Lonchura striata: one gene and its partners. The protein of the gene in region 1 purifies or fractionates together with the protein of each later gene. This does not show direct contact. Links are inferred from orthologs where the notes say so. Each region holds a gene or a part of one and is shown in the gene's direction. Other genes may lie near its edges.

Region 1 (6,924 bases):
CACAGCTGTGTTTCAGAGCCACCTTAGCACAGAGATGTTCGTGCACTGAAAGCAGCATCCCTGGAGGGGGTGGTGTGGGAAGCAGGTTCCCAGTGCCACCCCCACAGGCTGTGCTGATGATGGCTGTGGCTCCCAAAGAGGGGTGCAGCCCTTTTTGGAGCTGGGGGTGTTTTCTCTGGCTGGCTCACAGCCAAAGCCATGGTAGCTGCTTGCTCTGTGGCCCCACTGTGGGTCCTGCCAGAGGTGGGTTTGGAGCCAGCCATCCCACTGCTCTCTCCTCTGGGCTGGCTGTGTCTCCTCTAAGCTCAACAGCTCCCAAATTCCTCCCTGGGACCCCAGGGCTGGGCGCTTGATGTGAGGGGGGTGACATCTCCAAAAGGCCATCCTGTGGCATGCGAGGTGGGAGCTGCAAACAGCAGGGAGGGCTGAAGTGGTGGGGACAAGCCTTGTGCCCTGTTTGGGGGGACGTGCTGGGTGTCCCAGCCTGAAGGAGCCACAGCACCACACAGGGAGAGCTTTGGAGGTCGTGCTGAGCTGAGAAAACCACGGCAGCCATCTCTCCCCTAAGTCTCAGCACGGGCAGGGGAGAGAGAACCGGGCTGATGCTCCAGGAGCATCTCCTCTACCAAAGCCCACCTTCCTCGTGGTTTCAAAGGGGACAAGGACAGCTGGCCTGGCACCCTGGCACAGGCTGCTTGTGGCTGCCAGCAGAACAAGGAGGACTTAGGAGAGACCGTGAGGGTTTTCTGGCTCCTCGGAGCGGTGAGAAGGCTGCAGGAGCGGCCAGACAAACACACGGGGTGGGCGCTGGGTGGAGAGGAGCCGGGAGGATGCTGTGGCCGAGCGGTGCTGCTGCCTGGCTGCCAGCAAGGAATCCATCCTCTGGGTGGCACAGGAGAGACGGGATTTGGGCGTGGGTGACATCAGTGCCGTCCTCGGCCACCCAGAAGGGACAAGGGGCAGGCAGGAGCTGCCAGCGCGGCGTGGGCTGGAAGGTGGCAGCCCCTTGTTCCAGCGACCCACGTGTCAGGGATTTAAGGAAGGAAACCAGATTGCTGCTTATGATTTTGCTTTGAGCATGTTTTGGATTTTAAGAGTATGTTTAATAAAGGGTATCTTACGTGGACGAAGTGTCCAGAGTCATTTTGTGGTGGCAGGGTGAGGGCAGTCAGGGTTTGGGGGATGTGGTGTGTAAAAACCCTTTTTGGCTGGGAGCACCCACTCACCTGTCACCCAGGCACCTTCTCCAAAACAGCCCAGCTGATCCAAATGTCCTAAAACACTTCTCAACCTGCATTCCCAACTATCCTAAATACTGCCAGGATGGAGAAGGGGCAAATGCAAACTAAACCTCTGCAGGAAGTCTGGCCTGGGGTAGAGGCATCTTCCTGCTCTGTGGTGTGGGTGGCCCCTGTCACTGCTGGGATGGATGAGGACACCCAGAGGGAACTTTTCCTGGGGGAGAAGAGGAGCAACAAAGAGCTGGGAACACATGCCAGAGAAACCCCTCCAGTGGTGGGGAAGAAAATGTGTGCTGAGAGCTGAAGGCTTGAAGGTGAGGAGGGCTGTAAGGGGGGTTATATTTTGGGTTTAGTGGAAGGGGCTGATGATGGTGGGGCAAAGCAACTTGCAGCTGAATCAGAGTCAGAATCAATCAGATTGGAAAAGGCCTCTAAGATCATCGAGTCCAACCCATGACTGAGCAAGCTCGGGGGGAATGTCTTGCAGATGGTCAGATCCTTCAAAGGGGTCCCTCCCTGGCCTCTGATAAAGCTCTCAGAACAGCAGTTAGGGGGTAGGGAATTCTTAGAGAAGCCAGTGGCTGTAATTTTTTAATTAAGTGAAGGCAGACTCCATCCTTTATTTTTGGAGTCTGCCAGCCCACCTTCAGCTTTGCCCTCATTGCTGTGGGAACATCAGGAGCAAGAAATGGGATGGGGGCACAGGTAGGAGGAAAAGGGCTGGGGTTGCCCCTGGAGGGGCAGGACTCAGGCGTTCATAGAATCACAAACGGTTTGGGTTGGAACAGACATCAAAGATCATCCAGTTCCAGCCCCCCCACACCACAGGCAAGGACACCTTCCACTATCCCACGCTGCTGGGATCCCCTTCCAACCCGGCCTCGAGCTATTCCATGCACAGCTTCTCTGAGCAGCCTGTCCCGCCAGCCTCAAACAACCTGTCCTGTGATCCAGTCTAAAGCTGCTCTCCTTACCTTCGAAGCCATTGTCCTTTTTCCTATCGCCACACGGCCAAAGTCCCTCCCCAGCCTGCTCACGGCTGCCCTGGGGGGCCGAAAAGCCGCCAGGAGGGGATCGGGTGATAAGGTGATAAAGAGATTGATAAGGTCATTGATAATGTGATAAGGTGATTGATAAGGGGATAAGGTGATAAGGTTATAAGGTGGTTGATAAGGGGATAAGGAGATTGATAACGTGATTGATAAGGGGATAAGGTGATAAGGTTATAAGGTGATTGATAAGGTGATAAGGAGATTGATAAGGGGATAAGGGGATAAGGTGATAAGATAAGGTGATAGGGTGATACATAAGGTGATAAGGTCATTGATAACGTGATTGATAAGGGGATAAGGTGATAAGGGGATAGGGTGATAGGTGATAAAGAGATTGATAAGGTGATTGATAAGGTGATAAGGTGATTGATAAGGGGATAAGGTGATTGATAAGGTGAGAAGGTGATAGGGCGATAAGGTGATAAGGTCATTGAGAAGGTGATAAGGTCATTGATAAGGTGATTGATAAGTTGATAAGGTCATTGATAAGGCGATAAGGTGATAAGGCCATAGATAAGGTGATAAGGTCATTGATAAGGTGATAAGGTGATTGATAAGGGGATAAGGTGATTGATAAGGGGATAAGGTGATAAGGGGATAGGGTGATAGGTGATAAAGAGATTGATAAGGTGATTGATAAGGTGATAAGGTGATTGATAAGGGGATAAGGTGATTGATAAGGTGAGAAGGTGATAGGGCGATAAGGTGATAAGGTCATTGAGAAGGTGATAAGGTCATTGATAAGGTGATTGGTAAGGGGATAGATAAGGTGATAAACTGATTGATAAGGGGATAAGGTGATTGATAAGGGGATAAGATGGTAAGGTGATTGATAAGGTGATAGATAAGGTGATAAGGTGATTGATAAGGGGATAAAGTGATTGACAAGGTGATAAGGTGATTGACAAGGTGATAAGGCGATTGATAAGGGGATAAAGTGGTTACAAGGTGATTGATAAGGGGATAAGGTGATTGATGAGGTGATTAGGGGATAAGGTGATTGATAAGGTGATTGATAAGGGGGTGATAAGGTGATTGATAAGGGGATAAGGTGATTGATAAGGGGATAAGGTGGTAAGGTGATTGATAAGGGGATAAGGTGGTAAGGTGATTGATAAGGTGATAGATAAGGTGATAAGGTGATTGATAAGGGGATAAAGCGATTGACAAGGTGATAAGGTGATTGATAAGGTGATAAGGTGATTGATAAGGGGATAAGGTGGTAAGGTGATTGATAAGGTGATAAGGAGATTGATAAGGTGATAAGGCGATTGATAAGGGGATAAAGGGGTTACAAGGTGATTGCTAAGGTGATAAGGTGATAAGGCGATCGATACGGTGACCCCGGATCCCCCGACCGCCCCGGGCTGGGCGGGGCCCCGCGGGCACCGCCCCCGTCGCCATGGCAACGCGCGGGCCAATGGCGAGCCCGGAGGATGTTGACGGGGCGGGGCGTTGCCGTGGCGACGCGCGACGCCTCCCGGAGCCGCTACTTAACCCGGCGGGGCGGCCGCGGCTCCCGGCGGCTCGGCGGGCACGGCCCGGCCCGGCCCCACACCCACCGGGGCTCTCTTTCCCCGTTGCTTTTCGTCCTCCCCCCTCCCCTCTTATTTTTTGTAATTTTTTGGTATTTTTTTCCCCGTCCTCTCCAGTTTTTCCAGAAGCTTCTTAGCGTGTCGTGAACTTTGCCTCTCGGGGGACGACAGCGACACCGGGACGGGGTAAGGGGATGCGGCGGGTCTGCGCGGGGGAGCGGCTTTGGTTATGTGTCCTCCCGGCCCAAACGCTCGGGATTTCGGGTTTGCATTCACATCCCCGACACAGGACTCCCCAAAGTCTGAAGCGGGCTCGCTCTGACTGCGGGTGTGCTTGGGGTGGGACCCCCCCAGTTCCCCCAAACCACCCCTGAGTTGTTTCTGGGTAGCACAGGAAGTAAAAGCAGAAATAGCATCAAATTGAGAGAAGTTGGCTGCGAGGGGGGAAATTTCGAAGTATTTTGCCCTGGTGTGGAATGCTGAGAGTTAGTCCTGTGAGTGCTAGGTATTCAGAGATGTGTGTTCCCAAGAAATATCCTGACTTTTTGGGATGGCAGGGCTCGATTTTGGTATTTTGAGGTGTTTTCTGTTGTGTTTTTTTTTTTAAATTCTTTATTCAGCTGAGAGCTTGCTGGGCAGCGGGTTGGTGGGTGACACTGCGGTGTAGGAGTTTGAGGGAATTTCCCCGAGGTTTGAGGGTGCTAAAGCCCCTCGGGGCAGGCATTGCAGGTCCCTTGCAGAGCACACCAGGGATGGGTCTCACCCAGCAATGCCGGGAGCACCCAGAGCTGGCCCTGCCTGGCTGTCAGAGGCTGCACCTTGTGGAACCTCACCCCTGTCCCTGTTGTTATTGCAGGATTTGCCCCATCCCTTCCCTCCCGTTCACGTGCAGCCTGGGAAGCACTGAGGGAGGCATGGCGTGGCCCAGCCGAGCACTGAAAGCCAAGGGCAAACTGGAGGAAGACCTGGATGACAGCCTGCCAGACCTCATGTGGCTGAGGGACTTCACAGTGGCCCAGACTGGCCTGCCTCAGTTATACTCTGGCTCAGACCCCCAGGATTGCTACACCATGAGTGAGAGTCTGTTCAGCCTGGTTGATTTTGAGTCCCCGTGCTCACCCCTGGCTGCTGACCCGGCCTGCAAGGGCACACGCCACACCCCCTGCACGCCCATCTCCTCCTCCACCTCCTCCACCACGCACCACGACCTGGCTGTGCCCCCTCATCTGGCAGGGGACATCGACTACAAGACCAACCCTCATGTCAAGCCACCCTACTCCTACGCCACCCTCATCTGCATGGCCATGGAAGCCAGCAATAAACCCAAAATCACCCTCTCTGCCATCTACAAGTGGATTACTGACAACTTCTGCTACTTCCGACACGCTGATCCCACCTGGCAGGTAGGAGATGTGGAGCCGTGGCCACTCTCCCTGCAGGGCTGAGCAGGGCTTTCCACAACCTCCACTCTGCAAGACGAGATCATGCAGGGGTGCTGGATCCCACTGGGAAAAGAGTGACTCCAGTGGGGAAGGGCTGGAAGGGGAAAGAACTTGGCTGGGCACAAATGCCACGGCCCCGGGGGGGGCAGAGGGAAGGAGCCATTTGGGGGGAGAGCCCAGGACCATTTTGGGAGCAGGGAGGCACTCGTTGGGCTCCTGGCACCTGAGACTCCTCTTGGCTTCAGGGCAAAGGCCTTTTGGTCCCTACATTCCTGGAGTTCTCATGGAGTCCCTCAGGGTTGAGCACACGTGGAGAAGGTGCCAGGTCGAGTGTCCCTGGGTGCTGAAAACCAGGGATGGAGATGCCACTTGTTGGACAAGTCTCCCACTGGGGAGGTTCTGAGCAGAAATGCTGCTGGTTTCTAAGCAGGGCAGAGTACTGGGCTCCTGGCACCAGGGACAAGCCAAGGAGGCTCCATCACTGGGATGAGCTGGTGAGACCTGCAGAGGGAAGCCCAAGAGGGGTTAACTCGAGCTGCTGTCCTCAGCTAGCAGAGCATGTCCCCAGTGGGGAGGTGACAGCCCCCGGGCTCACAAGCTTTGGGGACAGCCCAGGGGCTTTCCCAGCCACCTTGGCTCACTGCCCTCCTCTGTCACACGAGGAGACCTCTGGCACGTGAGATTTTCTGGGATATGGCAGGGCTGGAGGGCCCTGGGGGGCTCATCCCTCCACTGGGGTTATTCCCATCCCAAATCTGCAGCGTGTCGCTAATCCTGATGGCAGTGCCCATCCAAGCAGAGCTGGAGAACCCCACTGCAAAGCTCAGGCATTGCCCACCTTCTCTCCAGGCAGGTGGGTCTCCAGTGGCTCTTGAAGCCCATCATGGGGAAGGAAACATTCCTGGTCCCCCTCCATGGCCATCTTAGTCCCCCTCTTACACTCCTATGAAAGTGATTTGGAAGCAGGAGCTGGGTGCCAACAGGTTGACTTTCTCCTGCACACTTCATGGCTGGGAATTTGCAACATTTTTAATTAAATGTGTTCATTAAAAAAAGAAAGAAGGTTTTCAATCCCTCTCTGCAGAGATGCAGGGGGTATCCTGGACCGTTGCAGGCAGGAATGATAAATATGTTGACTGGCTGAGTAATAATTCAGCCTGGGCTGAGCGAAGTTTGGGAAGGGGAGGAGAGATGGGCAGCAGAGAATTCAGCTTTCAAGCCTCTGATCCTCGTAAAATTTCATTACACAGTAAAATTGGAGTTACCACAGCCTGGATTGTGTGGGGGAATATCTGTGTTCCTGCTTTTTCTTTCTTCTCTTTTCTTTTTTTTAAATCTTTTGTTTCTTTTCACTTTTTTTTTCCCCCTTCCTTTCTCTCTTTTTTTTTTTCTTTTCTTTCTTGTCGAGGCTGTGTTCTCATCCCCTATCCCGATTCCCGTACGTGAAGACAGCCTGGAAAGGTCATGCCACCCATAGTCTGGGGGGAGATGGATATATTCCTGTGGGAGCTGAGTGCTTTGGAGAGGAGCCAACAAACCCAAGGAGCTTCAGCCCAGAGGAGGGTTTTGTTGTGTGTGTGTGTGTGTGCATGTTTTTCAACAGCTCTAAGCAATTGAGCCTTGTTTTTCCTATTCGGCACTACGGATTATGGAT
Region 2 (7,290 bases), on another chromosome or scaffold:
AGGAGACATGGATTCCAGGTAAAAGGAGAGATTTAAGAGTCTTTTTCTGCAAGAGTGGGAAGATTCTGGCTGCATGAGATGGGTTATAAAACACAATTAAGAGGAACAGAGGGTCAGAGACATTGTGACAAAATGACATTGGAATTTTTGAGCTGCACATCAAGCATGTTCAACCAGTTCTAGGTATCATTAGCTATTTCTGAAAGGTCCACATATTGCAATCTCAGGAGAAACAACCCTCTAAGTTTAAAGACCTACAAGTCAGAAATTCACACTGGGTCAGTCCCAAATCTTCAATGCAGTATTTTTAGTCTAGAGACATGTTAACAGCATATGAGATGGTTAGAAATAATAGGCAAAATTCTTATACTTCTGAAAGCAGTAACATGATACCATGGAGAAAGCCTTCCGTAAGGACTCCTGTACCCTGGGTTCTGTTCATAGCCTTGTTAATAGCCTGGAAATGCTCTTGGACAAGTCATTTCAGCCCTTTCTGCTTCATTTTCATCCATACAGGGAGGGAGAGACGTGGTTCCTTTGCAAAACCATTTGAATCAATTAATAAGTATAATAAAAAAATTACTCCTTGTATTTCTTGTTCAAATCCACAAACTGTAGGTAAAGGCTCTGCATAATTAACTATAACTATATTCTCAAAATATTTTTTGTTCTCTCACAAGTATTAGGAAGCAAAAGCTAGAGAGAATATTGTGTATTTGACTTAAATAAAAGCCAAAAATTCACTGGGTTTTATTTTTTTTTCCATTTTCAAAGTCACTGTTTCTGAATAATTTTGAAGTAGAGCTTTAGGCCATCATATACAAGTTGAAGGCTGTCCTTACTTATGTTTTGTGAACCCCTTAGAAGTAATTCACAGATTCATTGACATCTGTTATCCTAGACTTGTTTTGATCAACTGTTAAAGCAATACCCACATCTTCAGGGTAAGGATGGATCATGACAACTTAAATGAATCTGCCCCACACTCAAAGGATTTCTAATAGGTTCTGAAGCAAGGCTTTTCAGGCTACTAGTAGATATATACATTAAATAGAATAAAATAGGGGTGATTCCTGCAGATCACCCTGGCCTCAATCAGCCTTGCTGATTTACCACTTTGCACTGTCTCATTGTAATTTCCCAGTCCTGCTTATTCTGTGACCCCACCACCTCTAATCTAACAGCAATACTCAGATTCTAGAAAAGAAACACTGATACACTATCTTGATATTTAAGTTGTTTTAACTGTCTTCACTTTAGAGAAAGTCAGCTGACTCAAAGTTGTTCCTGCTGTCTCTGCATATCACCCTCACAAACAGGAATCCCCTCCATGACAACTTGCACTACATCTCTCTGTAAAGCTGCCTCATCTCTAACCATTCTATGTTAACACATAATTAACAAGTTACTGTTATCATTAAGCACTCTGTGGCATCTCTTCCTTCATGCAGGAAGGAAGGTGATCTCTTCAAAGCAACAGCCAACTCTTCAAGAAACAGAGAACCAGTTATCATTAACATTTAAATAGACACTCATTTGAAGTTCAGTGCAGCTTAGAAGATGGTCTGAATATGATGAGCTAGCACTTGACAACTCTGTCCAAATTGCTTATGCTATAAATGCTCCAAGCAAGCTCTTCACCCAGGTCTTACACCTTTTTCTGTTCATAATGTCAGGCTGTTCAAGGGTCACCAAAAGGTGATTTGTGGCCAACATAACCAGCCCAGCAAGCATTTCTATTGTCAACAATTATGTAAAAAGATCACTGTACAGTTTAGCTCCACTTCCCATTCCCTCTCTTCCCAATTTAAATAAAGAAAAAGCTGTTTTGACAAAGGCAAAATTATCTTGCCAGTATAAATCACACCCACATTCAGGAATGGCTTATTAGCACATCATACAGGATAGCTTAAAGCACCTCCACAGTGGTCAACACAATGAAGCCCCAATTATTAATTTAGGCTTTCAATGCCATTTCTATCACAGAATGGTGTTTTCCTTCTCAGAGGCTTTACAGCAGCAAGGGAGACACAGGATGGCTGAGTAGAACATTTTAAAGACTGACAAACAAACCTGAAATTATGACCAAGTCCCAGACAGGATACATTTAACAGCTGTGAGAAGAGATACAGAGATTTAGTCAATAATGTTTTGATGAGTTTTCAGGCTTTCTACTGTTTGGCCTTCTGAAGTACAGCCAAGAATGTCAGACAAGAGTACTGCAAGTATTTCTTTACTCCATGCCTTGTAAGCAAACACTGAATACTTAGAGGAATCACTTTTTCTGCGCCAGTAATTTATTGAATCAAGTCTGTATAATTCAGCATGAGGTTCTCATTGTATCAACTCGGACCATTTATCCCAAACATCTATAGATTGCCCTCTATCTATTTTGGTTGTCAGTGAAGGCACACCTTGGACCTTAAAGAGCTAATTACAGAAAGTGTTTTTATAGGCCAAGAGACCATTCGGTTTCAAACCAGTGCAAGACTTATTAAGAAAGTTTAGAGCTTGCTTCAATTAAATAATGTGTTATTCTAGTATCAGAACTTTTAGATTCTTGAAGGTTGTATGTGAAAATCAGCTTGTCATCCATCCTTGAACAAGCTTTCAAAGACTAAGAGCACTAAACTTTTGGAGTATACCTACATTGAGAAATTTCAGATAATCTTGTGACACCAAGAATTCATTTGCTTGGCGAAGAGAGCATAACTAGAACAGCTAGGGATTCAAATAGTTGAAATACTCCAGTTTAAAGATTAGAAGTTCCTAGTGAGGAGGGAAAAAGCCCTTAACCATGACACAGTAAGTTCAGCACAATACTTGGGTAGGGTTATTCTTCCTGTTCAAGAGTTGAAGCAGAGTTTCACAATGCTACTACCAAAAATAAAAATATTTCAATTATATTTACATGTAATTATGTAGCTCTACAGAATCTTCAGTAACATAGCCAATAATCATTATGACAGAAACTGCCTCCAAACAGACTGATGTTTATATTCTTTTTCCCTACAAAAGTCTTCTCACAGGAGCTTAACTTCATTATCTCTTCCTCTAATATCAGGGAAGTTGGCAAGAATTATTTCTCTCAGACATCCTCCACTGTTTCTCCAGTCATTCTTTAAGGCAACAAAATGTTAAGTCTAAAAAGTGCTCCTTAACAACTACTGAGATTTCTCATACATTTATATTTGGTCTAATATGAACTGAGAATTAGAATGTCACTGTCATTTCCTTTCAAATCACAAGTGTTTTTTAAAGCTTCTTTCTAAAAGCTGTCATTTACTTTAGCTATATTATTATACCTTCATTAGTCAGCTTGAAACAAGCTCATACCTAATGTGTTTTTAATTACCATCATTTATTTACATTTTCTACCACATAACACTCTTTTACTTTTCAGGCATAGACAAGGGCCCTGGTTCCAGAAGCTCCCAGAGCTTAGTTTAAGTAGGACTCCACACAAACCCACCTTCACAACATTAGAAGCAGATTCCTGAGCAACCCCACAAAGAGATGATCTCTTCCTCACTGCTTAGGTTGTGCCATCCATTTTATTATGTGACTCCTGAAAAGGAAAAAGATCACAGCTAGCTCCGTTTACTTCTCTTCCCTGCTCTGAGGCCATCAGCTGAGCACCAACACAACAAATAGAATAAAGGAGGAAAAGCCTCATGCACTTGTCTAAAGCCCAAAATAAAGGGCATTATCAAAACGCAGCACAAACACGACTGGGCACACCAGCCGAGAAAATACACACAAATCCAGAGGGAAAAAAATAGTTAACAACCAGTCAGGAAACCGAAACGAGCCGGCAGCCACAGCACGGCTAATCCGGGCAGGGTTACCAAGGCACACGGCACCACAACAAGGCACCGTCGCCAGACGCCCGCCCTCTCTCCTTCATCACACACGGCCGGAGCGGAGCCCGCCGGGACCCGCCGCTGCCCGCCTGCTGCCGCCGAGCCCGGCGGCTTCCGGGCTGCCCTGGGCCGCGCCGGCCCCTCACGGGAGCCGCTGCCAGCGCGCCCGGGCCCGAGCGCCGCCATTGCCGCTCCACACGGGCGGCCCCGGCCTTTTATTGGACTCGGACCGCCCCACCCCGCGCCGCGCCGCCCGCCCGCCCCGCCCCAACCCGCGCACCGATAGTACGGATACACAGATTGGCCGCGCCGGCTCCGGCCGTTTGTGTCGGGCGAGCCGATTGGCGGAGCACGGCCGCCCAACGGCCGCCCGCTCGCGAGCGCGTCCCTGGCGGTGTCAATGGCTCCTCCTGCCACGGAGCAGCGACGGGCCTGAGCCGGGCAGGACCGCGGGATCGCCGGGGGCCGGGACGGGGGGGGCGCGGCGCCATCGTCCCCCACAGCAGCGCTGAGAGAGCCGGCGGCTCCTCTGCCTTCGAGCGAGCCGGCAGCGGCAGCGGGACCCGCGCCCGGAGATTTCCCCCCCGCCCTTCCCTGCTGCCCGCGCCTGCGAGGCGGCCGCCCCGGGGCTCCCTCCGAGTGCCCCCGTCCCCGCCGAGGCACCGGTTGCCGGAGGATTCCCCCCTCCCCTCCCGCCGCCCACACGAGCCGGCAAATGAACTCGGTCCGAGCCGCCAACAGGAGACCCAGGCGAGTGTCCAGGCCGCGCCCGGTGCAGCAGCAGCAGCAGGAGAGGAACAACGCCGCCGCCGCCGCCGCCGGGGATCGGGGTAAGCCGGGCTCGGGGCCCGCCCTGCGCGGGGACCGGCAGGAAAAGCCCAGGCTGCTTCACCCTTGGCTCCCGCTCAGGCCGCGCTTTGTTTGGCTCGGGCTCTGCCCCGGCTCGGGGGGAGGCGGGGGCTCGGCCCCTTCCCCGGCCGGGGATGGGGGGAGACGATCGCCCGCGGCCCCTCGGGACAGGACGCCCCCCCCGAGCCCCCGCCCCGTCCCCGGGGACCGCGAGCGGGCGAGCCGCCCTGGCCCCCCGGGAACACCGGTGCCTCCCGCGGGGAGCGGCGGGCCGGGCCCCGAGGGCCGCGGGGGGAGAGCGCCCGGGGGGCTGCGGGGCGGGGGGAGGCGACGGTGTCGGGCCGCTTGCGGCGGCACCTTCCCCGAAATGGTGTCCGGGGGCGGCGGCCCCGGGTCTGGCCGAGGCTCCGCGGGGCCGGGCCCGCTGCGCCGCGCCTGCTGCGCAGTTCGGGCTCCGGCCCCGGCGCCGGCGGGGGGGCCGCGGCCCGTCGGCCATTGATCCCCCCGGCCGCACGGCCCCCGCGCCGCGGCGGGGACTCGGGCCGCCCGCGCCCCAGCCCTGCCCGGCCGGGGCCTAGCGTGAAAATGTTGACAATTCGGAGCTAGCGGGGGAAAGCACCATTGTGTGAGGGCATGAGGAAGCGGCGAGGTGGGATTCGCCCCTCATGGAGCCAGGAGAGGGGTGCGGGGGAGCTCCGGGTTGGCGGCCCCTCGGGCCTGTCGCTGTCGCCCCAGTGGTGGCTCTGGGGGTGCCACTGTGTGTGTGCTCCGAATGTGCAGGACTGGTGGTGGCTGGGCTTTTTTTTTTTTTTTTTTTTTTTTTTTTTTTTTTTTTTTTCTCTTTCTAAGGCGAGATGGGGGTGGGATTGGAGGAGACATTTTGCATGTCTTATCTGGTGGATTGGATTTTAATTTTTTATGCGTTACCTGTCACAACTCCGGCGTGATAAAGGAGACTGATCCGTGGTGCGGTCTTAGGTGTACGAATGCCTTTTTTAAATTTAAAAAAAAAAAAAAAAAAAAAAAAAAAGGGCTTCATTGTCAGCTAAATGTCTTTTGTTTGAATATCTATGATATCACATTGAGAACAAGATATTTTAACCACGGAGATGCGTCGCGATAAATATTTTAGTGCATTTTATGCAATCAGAACATTTTAAGTAAATGAAGTAAAGAAAATTGAATCTGAGGAAGTATTTTTAATTCTCCATTCCTCCCCCTCCCTCCCCTTCCTTCCCCCGCCTCCCCCTCGCACACATTGGTCAGAGCAAAGAATGTTACCCAGACCAGATTGCTGTGTATATAACCAGAGGATGTGATGTCTTATGCCCAATTATGGGTCTTGTGTAAACCTTCCAAAATTTTCAGTAATTATATGATTAAAATGACTTCTCTGGTATACTGACATTTAAAAGAAAAACAACAACACGGAAAATAAAGCAAAACAACAACAAAAAAAGAACTTCTTCCTCTCAAAGACGTGCACTAAAGGGTCTTCTTCATCGACGTTCCATTTGGAGAATATAGGGATTTTTTCCAACCCCATGGCTTACTTTGCCTTTTAAACAGATGAAAATACAACTTATAAAAGGCATCCAGAATGATGTGCTTATGGATTAAATGCAGTGATTATTATTCAGTTTTACGTTGGATTGCCGCTGTTCATATGTTACTAATTTGCTAAAGATACAGGCAGAAACTTTCTCTATTAAAATGTGAGGCTGCAGTGTGTTTGTATTACCCTGACATTTCTGGAACTCTAGACTCACCTAATTTTATTTTTTCTTCCACATTGTTCTGTGCTGTTGACCATTCAGTGGTGATGAAATTATAACAAAATCAAATTCCATGGTTTGTGAAAATTACCGTTCCATGTGGATCACTGCTAGCTTTTTCCTTGCAGTTTTGAAGGTCAATTGTGCTAGGTCCCACTTGCCCAAAAATGTATCGACAGCATTAAGGTTTTTTTGTCATTAGTGTTCCATCTGCATTTGGGGTGTCTCTAGTGCTGTTTCCGTTCTATCTCAGGATTTGCAAGGTCTGATCCACTGTATCTGGAAGGTAATTTCAGTTTTACCTGTGACTTTGGTCGTTTTGTGCAGGGCTATTGCAGTAAAGGCTGATGAATAATGCTACTAAATTAAAAGCCAGTGTGCTGGGGTTAGACTGTACCATGCAAATCAGTGTTGACTTTTTTCACCTTTATTCCCAAGCAATGTAGGTCATCCTAAAAAAAGCTGCACAAAAGAATCAGTATAAGTTATTAGGAAATGGTTTCTATTGAACTCAGATTTAAATTTGTTAAAAAAAAAAAAAACCTCCTAATACTGTGAATGCAGCTATGACTGAACAGGAATTATTTTTTGTTACTGTTAATTTCTTTCCTCCTTCATATTACAGCTCTGTACTTAAGGCACAGATATCATGGGACAGAGTTGATAATACAGTTCACGGTTAATCTTTGGAACTTCTTGTTTCATATCATTAGATTTCTTAGTAAAACATGTACTAGGTCTTGAGCTTTATTTATTATTTAATGCTCTGTAAGTAGACAGTGTTTTACAACTGAGTAACAGCT
Region 3 (7,671 bases), on another chromosome or scaffold:
CCCAGCGACACGGCCTTCATGGCCACCACCATCTGCGCGCCTGCGGCCCGGACGGGGACCCCGAGATGGGACCCCGGACTGGGGACCCCGAATTGGGGACCCCGAGATGGGACCCCGGATTGGGGACCCCGGATTGGGAACCCCGAATTGGGAACCCCGGATTGGGAACGGTCAGGGGACCCCGAAATGGGAACCCGGATTGGGAACCCCGAATTGGGAATCGTCAGGGGACCCCGAGATGGGACCCCGGATTGGGGACCCCGGATTGGGGACCCCGAGATGGGACCCCGGATTGGGAACCCCGGATTGGGGACCCCGAGATGGGACCCCGGATTGGGAACCCCGGATTGGGGACCCCGAGATGGGACCCCGGATTGGGAACCCCGGATTGGGAACGGTCAGGGGACCCTGAAATGGGAACCCCAAATTGGGAACAGTCAGGGGACCCCAAAATGGGAACCCCGAATTGGGAACCCTGAATTGGGAACCCTGAATTGGGAACCCCAAAATGGGAACTGTGAGGGAACCCTGAAATTGGGAACCCTTGAATTGGGCACCCCGAATTGGGAACGGTCAGGAAACCCCGAAATGGAACCCCAAAATTGGGACCGTCAGGGGACCCCGAAATTGGGAATGGTCAGGGGACCCCGAAATTGGGAACCCTGAAATTGGGAATCATCGGGGGACCCCGAAATTTGGAATGGTCAGGGGACCCCGAAATTTGGAACAGCCAGGGGACCCCGAAATTGGGAATCCCAAATTGGGAACCCTGGATTGGGAACCCCAAAATTGGGCACGGTCAGGGGACCCCGAAATGGGAACCCTGAATTGGGAATGGTCAGGGGACCCCGAATTGGGAACCCTGAAATGGAAACCCAGAAATGGGAACGGTCAGGGGACCCCGAAATGGGAACCCTGAATTGGGAACAGTCAGGGGACCCCAAATTGGGCACCCCCAATTGGGAACCCCGAAATTGGGAACCTCAAAATTGGGAACAGTCAGGGGGCCCCGAAATTGGGAATCCCGAAATTGGGAACCCCAAAATTGGGACCGTCAGGGGACCCCAAAATTGGGAAGCCCGAATTAAGAACCCCGAAAATGGGAACCCCGAAATTGGGAACCTCAAAACTGGGAACCGCAAATTGGGAACCACGAATTGGGAACCCCAAAACCGACGCCATCAGGGGACCCCAAAATTGGGAACCCCGGATTGGGAACCACAGAACCGAGAACCCCGAAATGGGAACCTCGAAATTGGGAACCCCAAAACCAGCACCGTCAGGGGACCCCGAAATTGGGACCTTGAGGGGACCCCAGAATTGGGAACCCCAAAATTGGGACCATCAGGGGGCCCCAAAATTGGGAACCCCGAATTGGGAACCTCTAAATGGGCACCCCGAAACTGGGAACCTTGAAATGGGAACCCCGAAATTGGGAACCCCAGAATGGGAACCCCAAAATTGTGAGCCCCAAAATGGGCACCCCAAAATTTGGACTGTCAGGGGACCCCCAAACCTGGAACCCTGACACCAGGAACCCCGAAATTGGGGGGACCCCAAAACTGGCAAATCAGTGCACCCCGAAACCTGGAATATTGGGAACCCTGACACGGGGTGGGGGGGGGGGTGGGTCGGGGGTCCCAGGGGGGATTTAGGGGTCCCAGGGGGATCTGGGGCTCCCGGGGGGGGGGTCGGGGTGTCCCGGGGTGATTTGGGGGTCCTGGGGGGGGGGTCGGGGGTCTCACCTCGCATCTTGTGCCACGTGACCGTGTCCACCATGTGCAGCTCCCTGGGGGGGCTCCCAGTCACTCCCAGTTCATCCCAGTGCCCTCATCTCCCTCCCAGTTCATCCCAGTGCCCCCCCATCTCCCTCCCAGTTCATCCCAGTGCCCCCCCATCTCCCTCCCAGTCGCTCCCAGTTCATCCCAGTGGCCCCAGTCCCTCTTCCAGTCCCTCCCAAAACACCCCCAAACCCCCTCCCAGTCCCCCCAGTGCCCTCCCAGTGTCCCCAGCCCCTCTCCCAGTGCCTCCCAGCACCTCCAAATAACCCCAAACCCCCTCCCAGTCCCCCCCAGTGGCCCCAGTGCCCTTCCAATGGCCCCAGTCCCCCTCCCAGTGTCCCCAGTCCCTCTCCCAGTGCCCTCCCATTGGCTCAGTCCTTCTCCCAGTCCCCCCAGTCCCTCTCCCAGTCTCTCCCAGTGTCCTCCCAGTGCCCCCAGTACCTCCCAGCACCCCCAAATCACCCCCAAACCCCATCCCAGTGCCCCCAGTCCCTCCCAGTGCCCCCAATCCCTCTCCCAGTGCCCCCAGTCCCTCGCGGTGCCCGCACCCCATGAGCAGGTAGCTGAGGGCGGCCAGGGCGAGGCAGAGGCCGCGGTGGGCGCGGGCCCGGCTCAGGAGCAGGGTGAGGACGCAGAGCGCGCTCAGCAGGGCCACCCACAGCGCCTGCGCCCCGAAGAAATGGTGCAGGGCCAGGAGCCCCCCGGCCGCTGCGCCCGCGTGCTTCCCGCCCCGCGGCAGCGCTGCGCCACAGCGGGTCAGCAGGGCGCCCGAGACACGGGCACCCGAACCCCGAAACCCCCGAGACCCAGGTACCCGAACCCTGAAACCCCGGAGACCCGAACCCCAAAACCCTGGGGACCCAAACCCCGAAACCCCGGGGACCCGAACCCCAAAACCCCGGGGACCCGAACCCTGAAATCCTGGGTACCCAAACCCCAAAACCCCCCAGACCCAGGTACCCGAACCCCAAAACCCCGGGGACCCGAACCCCAAAACCCTGGGGACCCAAACCCCAAAACCCCGGGTACCCAAACCCCAAAACCCCCGAGACCCGGGTACCCAAACCCCAAAACCCCAAAACCCCGAGGATACCCGAACCCCAAACCCCGGGGGCACCCAATCCCTGAAACCCGAAACCCCAGCAATCCCAAACCCGGGGTACCCGAACCCCGAAACCCCCGAACCCAGGGTACCCAAACCCCAAAACCCCAAAACCAGGGGATACCCAAACCCCAAAACCCGGGGTACCCGAACCCCGAAACCCCCGAACCTGGGGTACCTGAACCCTGAAACCCGGGGGTACCTGAACCCCAAAACCCCAAAACCAGGGGGTACCCAAACCCCGAATCCCCGGGGGTACCCGAACCCAGAAGCACCAGCACTCCCAAACCTGAGGTACCCGAACCCCGAACCACCCAAACCTGGGGATACCCAAACCCCAGAACCTGGGGTACCTGAACCCTAAACCCCAGGGGTATCCGAACCCCGAAACCCCAGGGTACCCGAACCCTAAACCCCCAAACCCGGGGGTACCCAAACCCCGAAACCCCCGAACCCGGGGTACCCGAACCCTGAAAACGGGGCTACCCGAACCCCCCAACCCGGGGTACCCGAACCCCGAAACCCCAAACCCCGGGTACCTGAACCCCGAACCCGGGGGCACCCAAACCCTGAAACCGCAAACCCGGGGGTCCCCGAACCGCCAGCACCCCCAAACCCGGGGGTCTCCTCACCCCAAACCCCGGGGGTCTCCTCACCCCAAACCCCGGGGGTCTCCTCACCCCAAACCCCGGAACCCCCGGGGGTCCCCCGACCCAAACCCAAACCCCTGCGCTACCCCCGGACCCCTCCCCAGACCCCCGGACCCCCCGAGCCCCTGGGACCCCTCCGGACCCCCGGATCCCCCCAGACCCCCAGAAAGCCTCAGAACCCCCAGATCCCCCCAAACCCCCTCAGACCCCCGGAACTCCCCGGACCCCCAAACCCCTGAAAGCCTCGGAACCCCCCAGACTCCCCCGGATCCCCCCAAACCCCCGGACCCCCGGAACACCCCGGACCCCCGGAATCCCCTAGACCTCCCCAGACCCCCGGGCCCCCCCGGAGCCCCGGTCCCGTCGCAGCCCCACTCACGCAGCCGGTGCAGCAGCCGCGCCCCGAGGCAGAGCAGCAGCAGCGGCCAGAGCTGGGCCAGGCCCTGCCGCGCCGTGGGCACCACGCAGCCGGGCAGCACCTGCGCCGCGAACTCTCGCGGAGGCAACGCCGCCATCCCGACCCCAGCGGGGCTCGCTGCGCGCCGGGACCCCCCAAAAAACCCCCCAAAACCCCAAAAAACCCCAAAAACCTCCCCGAACCCCCCGCCCGCGCCTCGCCCGGCGCCGCCGCCCGCCCGCCTGAGGGGAAAGGGGCGTGGCCCCCGCTCCCACCAATCAGCGCCCGCCGTCCCTCCCCGCGCGGCGGCGCCGACCAATCAGAGCGCAGCGCGGCCAAATGGCGGCGCGCGACGGGGCGGCCGTTGCCAAGGGCGGGGCGCGGTTGCCGGGGAGCGGGGGATGCCGAGGGGGCGTGGCCTGTTGCTAAGAGGCGTGGCTCTGTTGCTATGGGCGTGGCCTCGTTGCCGCTCTGCGTTGCTGGGGCCAACCGGGGGGGCGTGGCCTGTTGCCAGGGTGATGGTTGCTAAGGGGCGGGTCTAACCCCGCGCAGCATGTGTTGATTGGCTGTTTCCGGGGGCGGGGCCTGTTGCCGGGGTGATGGTTGCGAAGGGGCGTGGCCTCACCGCGCGGAGCGGGCGGCGATTGGCTGCGGCGCCGGGGGCGGGGCCTGTTGCCATGGCGGCGCGGCGCGGCGGGCGGCGCGGGGCAGTGTGGGCCGGCGGCGGGGCGCGCCCGGCGGGATGGAGCAGTACCTGGTGCTGGGCCGCATCGGCGAGGGCGCGCACGGCGTCGTGTTCCGGGCCAAGCACCGGCAGGTGCGGCGGGCACCGGGGGGCGGCAGCGGCGCCGCGGGGCCTGGCTGACCCGCCGCCTGTCCCCCGCCAGACCGGCGAGCTGGTGGCGCTCAAGAAGGTGCCGCTGCGGCGGCCCGAGGAGGGGCTGCCCCTGCAGACGCTGCGGGAGATCAAAGCGCTGCGGGAGATGGAGGCGCACCCGCACGTGAGTGAGCGCGAGGCAGGCCCAGTGCTCCCAGTTTGGTTCCCAGTCCCTCCCAGTCCCTCCCAGTCCCCCCTCAGTGCTCCCAGTTTGGTTCCCAGTGCTCCCAGTCCCTCCCAGTCCCCCCTCAGTGCTCCCAGTCCCTCCCAGTCCCCCCCCAGTCCCTCCCAGTCCCCCCCAGTGCTCCCAGCGCTCCCAGTCCCCTCCCAGTGCTCCCAGTGCTCCCAATTTGGCTCCCAGTGCTCCCAGTTCCCTCCCAGTGCTCCTACTCCCCCCCAGTCCCCCCCAGTCCCCTCCTAGTTCCTCCCAGTTTGGCTCCCAGTGCTCCCAGTCCCTCCCAGTCCCTCCCAGTGCTCCCAGTCCTCTCCCAGTCCCCTCCCAGTTCCCTCCCAGTCCCCCCAAATCCCCAGTGCTGTCCCCGCCCTCCTGCCCCCCCCAATTTCAGGGTCCCCGCCTTCTGCGGGTTCTTCTCCACCCCTGTTCCTGCCCCATGTCCCCGTGTCCCCCCAGCTCCGGTGTCCCCTTGACCCCCCGGTGTCCCCTCCCCCACCGGAGCCGGCTCCCGGTGTCACCGTCCCCGTTGTCCCCTCCCTGTCCCCTCTGTCCCCTCTGTCCCCTCTGTCCCCACTCTGTCCTCTCGCTGTCCCCGCAGGTGCTCTGGCTCTGTCCCCTCTCTGTCCCCTCTGTCCCCTCTGTCCCCTCTGTCCCCGCTGTCCCGCAGGTGCTCTGGCTCTGTCCCCGCTGATGTCCCCTCTGTCCCCGCTGATGTCCCCTCTGTCCCCTCTCTCTGTCCCCTCTCACTGTCCCCTCTCTCTGTCCCCGCTCTGTCCCCTCTCACTGTCCCCTGGCTGTCCCCTCTGTCCCCTCTCACTGTCCCCTGGCTGTCCCCTCTGTCCCCTCTCACTGTCCCCTCTGTCCCCTCTGTCCCCGCTGTCCCGCAGGTGCTCCGGCTCCGCGCCGCCTTCGCGCAGGGCCCCGCGGTGGTTCTGGCGCTGGAGCTGCTCGTGGCCGACCTTGGGGGGCTCCTGCGGGCGGCGCCGGCGCCGCTGCCCCCGGCGCGGGTGCGGGCGCTGCTGGCCATGACCCTGCGCGGGCTGGCACACCTGCACGGGCAGCGCCTGCTGCACCGGGTGAGCCCGCACGGGGATCGGGGACCCCGAAAACGGGATCGGGGACCCCGAAAAAGGGATCGGGGACCCCGAAAATGGGATTGGGGGCTCCAAATTTGGGATTGGGGACCCAAAAACGGGATTGGGGACACCAAAAATGGGAGTGGGGACACAAAAAATGGGATTGGAGACCCCGAAAATGGGATAAAGGACCCCGAAAATGGGATTGGGGACCCCGAAAATGGGATCGGGGACCCCGAAAATGGGAGTGGGGACCCCGAAAATGGGAGTGGGACCCCGAAAATGGGAGTGGGGACCCCGAAAACGGGATCGGGGACCCCGAGAACGGGAGTGGGGACCCCGAAAATGGGATTGGGGACCCCGAAAACGGGATCGGGGACCCCGAAAATGGGATTGGGGACCCCGAAAATGGGAGTGGGGACCCCGAAAATGGGATTGGGGACCCCGAAAATGGGAGTGGGGACCCCGAAAATGGGATTGGGGACCCCGAAAATGGGATTGGAGACCCCGAAAATGGGATTGGGGACCCCGAAAATGGGATAAAGGACCCCGAAAATGGGAGTGGGGACCCCGAAAATGGGATAAAGGAACCCAAAATGGGATCGGGGACCCCGAAAACGGGATCGGGGACACAAAAAATGGGATCCGGGACCCCGAAAATGGGATTGGAGACCCCGAAAATGGGATCGGGGACACAAAAAATGGGATCGGGGACCCCGAAAATGGGATCGGGGACACAAAAAATGGGATTGGGGACACAAAAAATGGGATCGGGGACCCCGAAAATGGGATAAAGGACCCCGAAAACGGGATCGGGGACCCCGAAAATGGGATTGGGGACCCCGAAAATGGGATCAGGGACACAAAAAATGGGATAAAGGACCCCGAAAATGGGATAAAGGACCCCGAAAATGGGATCGGGGACACAAAAAATGGGATTGGGGACACAAAAAATGGGATCGGGGACACAAAAAATGGGATCGGGGACCCCGAAAACGGGATTGGGGACCCAAAAAATGGGATCCGGGACCCCGAAAATGGGATAAAGGACCCCGAAAATGGGATCGGGGACACAAAAAATGGGATAAAGGACCCCGAAAATGGGATAAAGGACCCCGAAAATGGGATAAAGGACCCGAAAATGGGATTGGGGACCCCGAAAATGGGATAAAGGACCCGAAAATGGGATAAAGGACCCGAAAATGGGATTGGGGACCCCGAAAATGGGATAAAGGACCCGAAAATGGGATTGGGGACCCCGAAAATGGGATTGGGGGCTCCAAATTTGGGATTGGGGACCCCAAATTTGGGATTGGGGACCCAAAAACGGGATTGGGGACACAAAAAATGGGATTGGGGACCCAAAAAATGGGATTGGGGACGCAAAAATGGGATCGGGGCACCAAAAATGGGTTTGGGGACCCCGAAAATGGGAGTGGGGACCCCAAAAATGGGATTGGGGACCCCAAATTTGGGACTGGGGACCCCAAAAATGGGATTGGGGACCCAAAAATGGAATTGGGGACCCCAAAAATGGGATTGGGGACCCCAAAAATGAAAGTGGGGACCCCAAAACATGGGACTGGGGACCCAAAAATGGGAGTGAGTACCCT

The links.
Region 2: the proteins of FOXJ1 (region 1) and FBXO11 purify together in Homo sapiens (affinity purification with mass spectrometry; 3 studies listed by BioGRID and IntAct, counting the BioPlex papers as one, with this or other methods). This does not show direct contact. The link is inferred for Lonchura striata from reciprocal best matches to the Homo sapiens genes FOXJ1 and FBXO11.
Region 3: the proteins of FOXJ1 (region 1) and cyclin-dependent kinase 20-like purify together in Homo sapiens (affinity purification with mass spectrometry; 3 studies listed by BioGRID and IntAct, counting the BioPlex papers as one, with this or other methods). This does not show direct contact. The link is inferred for Lonchura striata from reciprocal best matches to the Homo sapiens genes FOXJ1 and CDK20.

The regions. Positions count from the first base shown.
Region 1 is NC_134621.1:4,222,238-4,229,161, forward strand, and holds the start of FOXJ1 (forkhead box protein J1), read left to right. Parts: upstream 1-3,874; 5' UTR 3,875-4,014; intron 4,015-4,684; 5' UTR 4,685-4,742; coding exon 4,743-5,231; intron 5,232-6,924. UniProt on the Homo sapiens protein: Transcription factor specifically required for the formation of motile cilia. Acts by activating transcription of genes that mediate assembly of motile cilia, such as CFAP157.
Region 2 is NC_134605.1:20,231,321-20,238,610, reverse strand, and holds the start of FBXO11 (F-box only protein 11), read left to right. Parts: upstream 1-4,269; 5' UTR 4,270-4,578; coding exon 4,579-4,693; intron 4,694-5,268; exon of another isoform or gene 5,269-5,345; coding exon of another isoform or gene 5,346-5,361; intron 5,362-7,290. UniProt on the Homo sapiens protein: Substrate recognition component of a SCF (SKP1-CUL1-F-box protein) E3 ubiquitin-protein ligase complex which mediates the ubiquitination and subsequent proteasomal degradation of target proteins, such as DTL/CDT2, BCL6, SNAI1 and PRDM1/BLIMP1.
Region 3 is NC_134638.1:2,109,920-2,117,590, forward strand, and holds the start of cyclin-dependent kinase 20-like, read left to right. Parts: upstream 1-4,650; 5' UTR 4,651-4,672; coding exon 4,673-4,747; intron 4,748-4,817; coding exon 4,818-4,931; intron 4,932-5,869; coding exon 5,870-6,058; intron 6,059-7,671. Other genes in the region: PORCN (protein-serine O-palmitoleoyltransferase porcupine), read right to left, coding at 1-40, 1,746-1,789, 2,330-2,522, 3,913-4,048. UniProt on the Homo sapiens protein: Required for high-level Shh responses in the developing neural tube.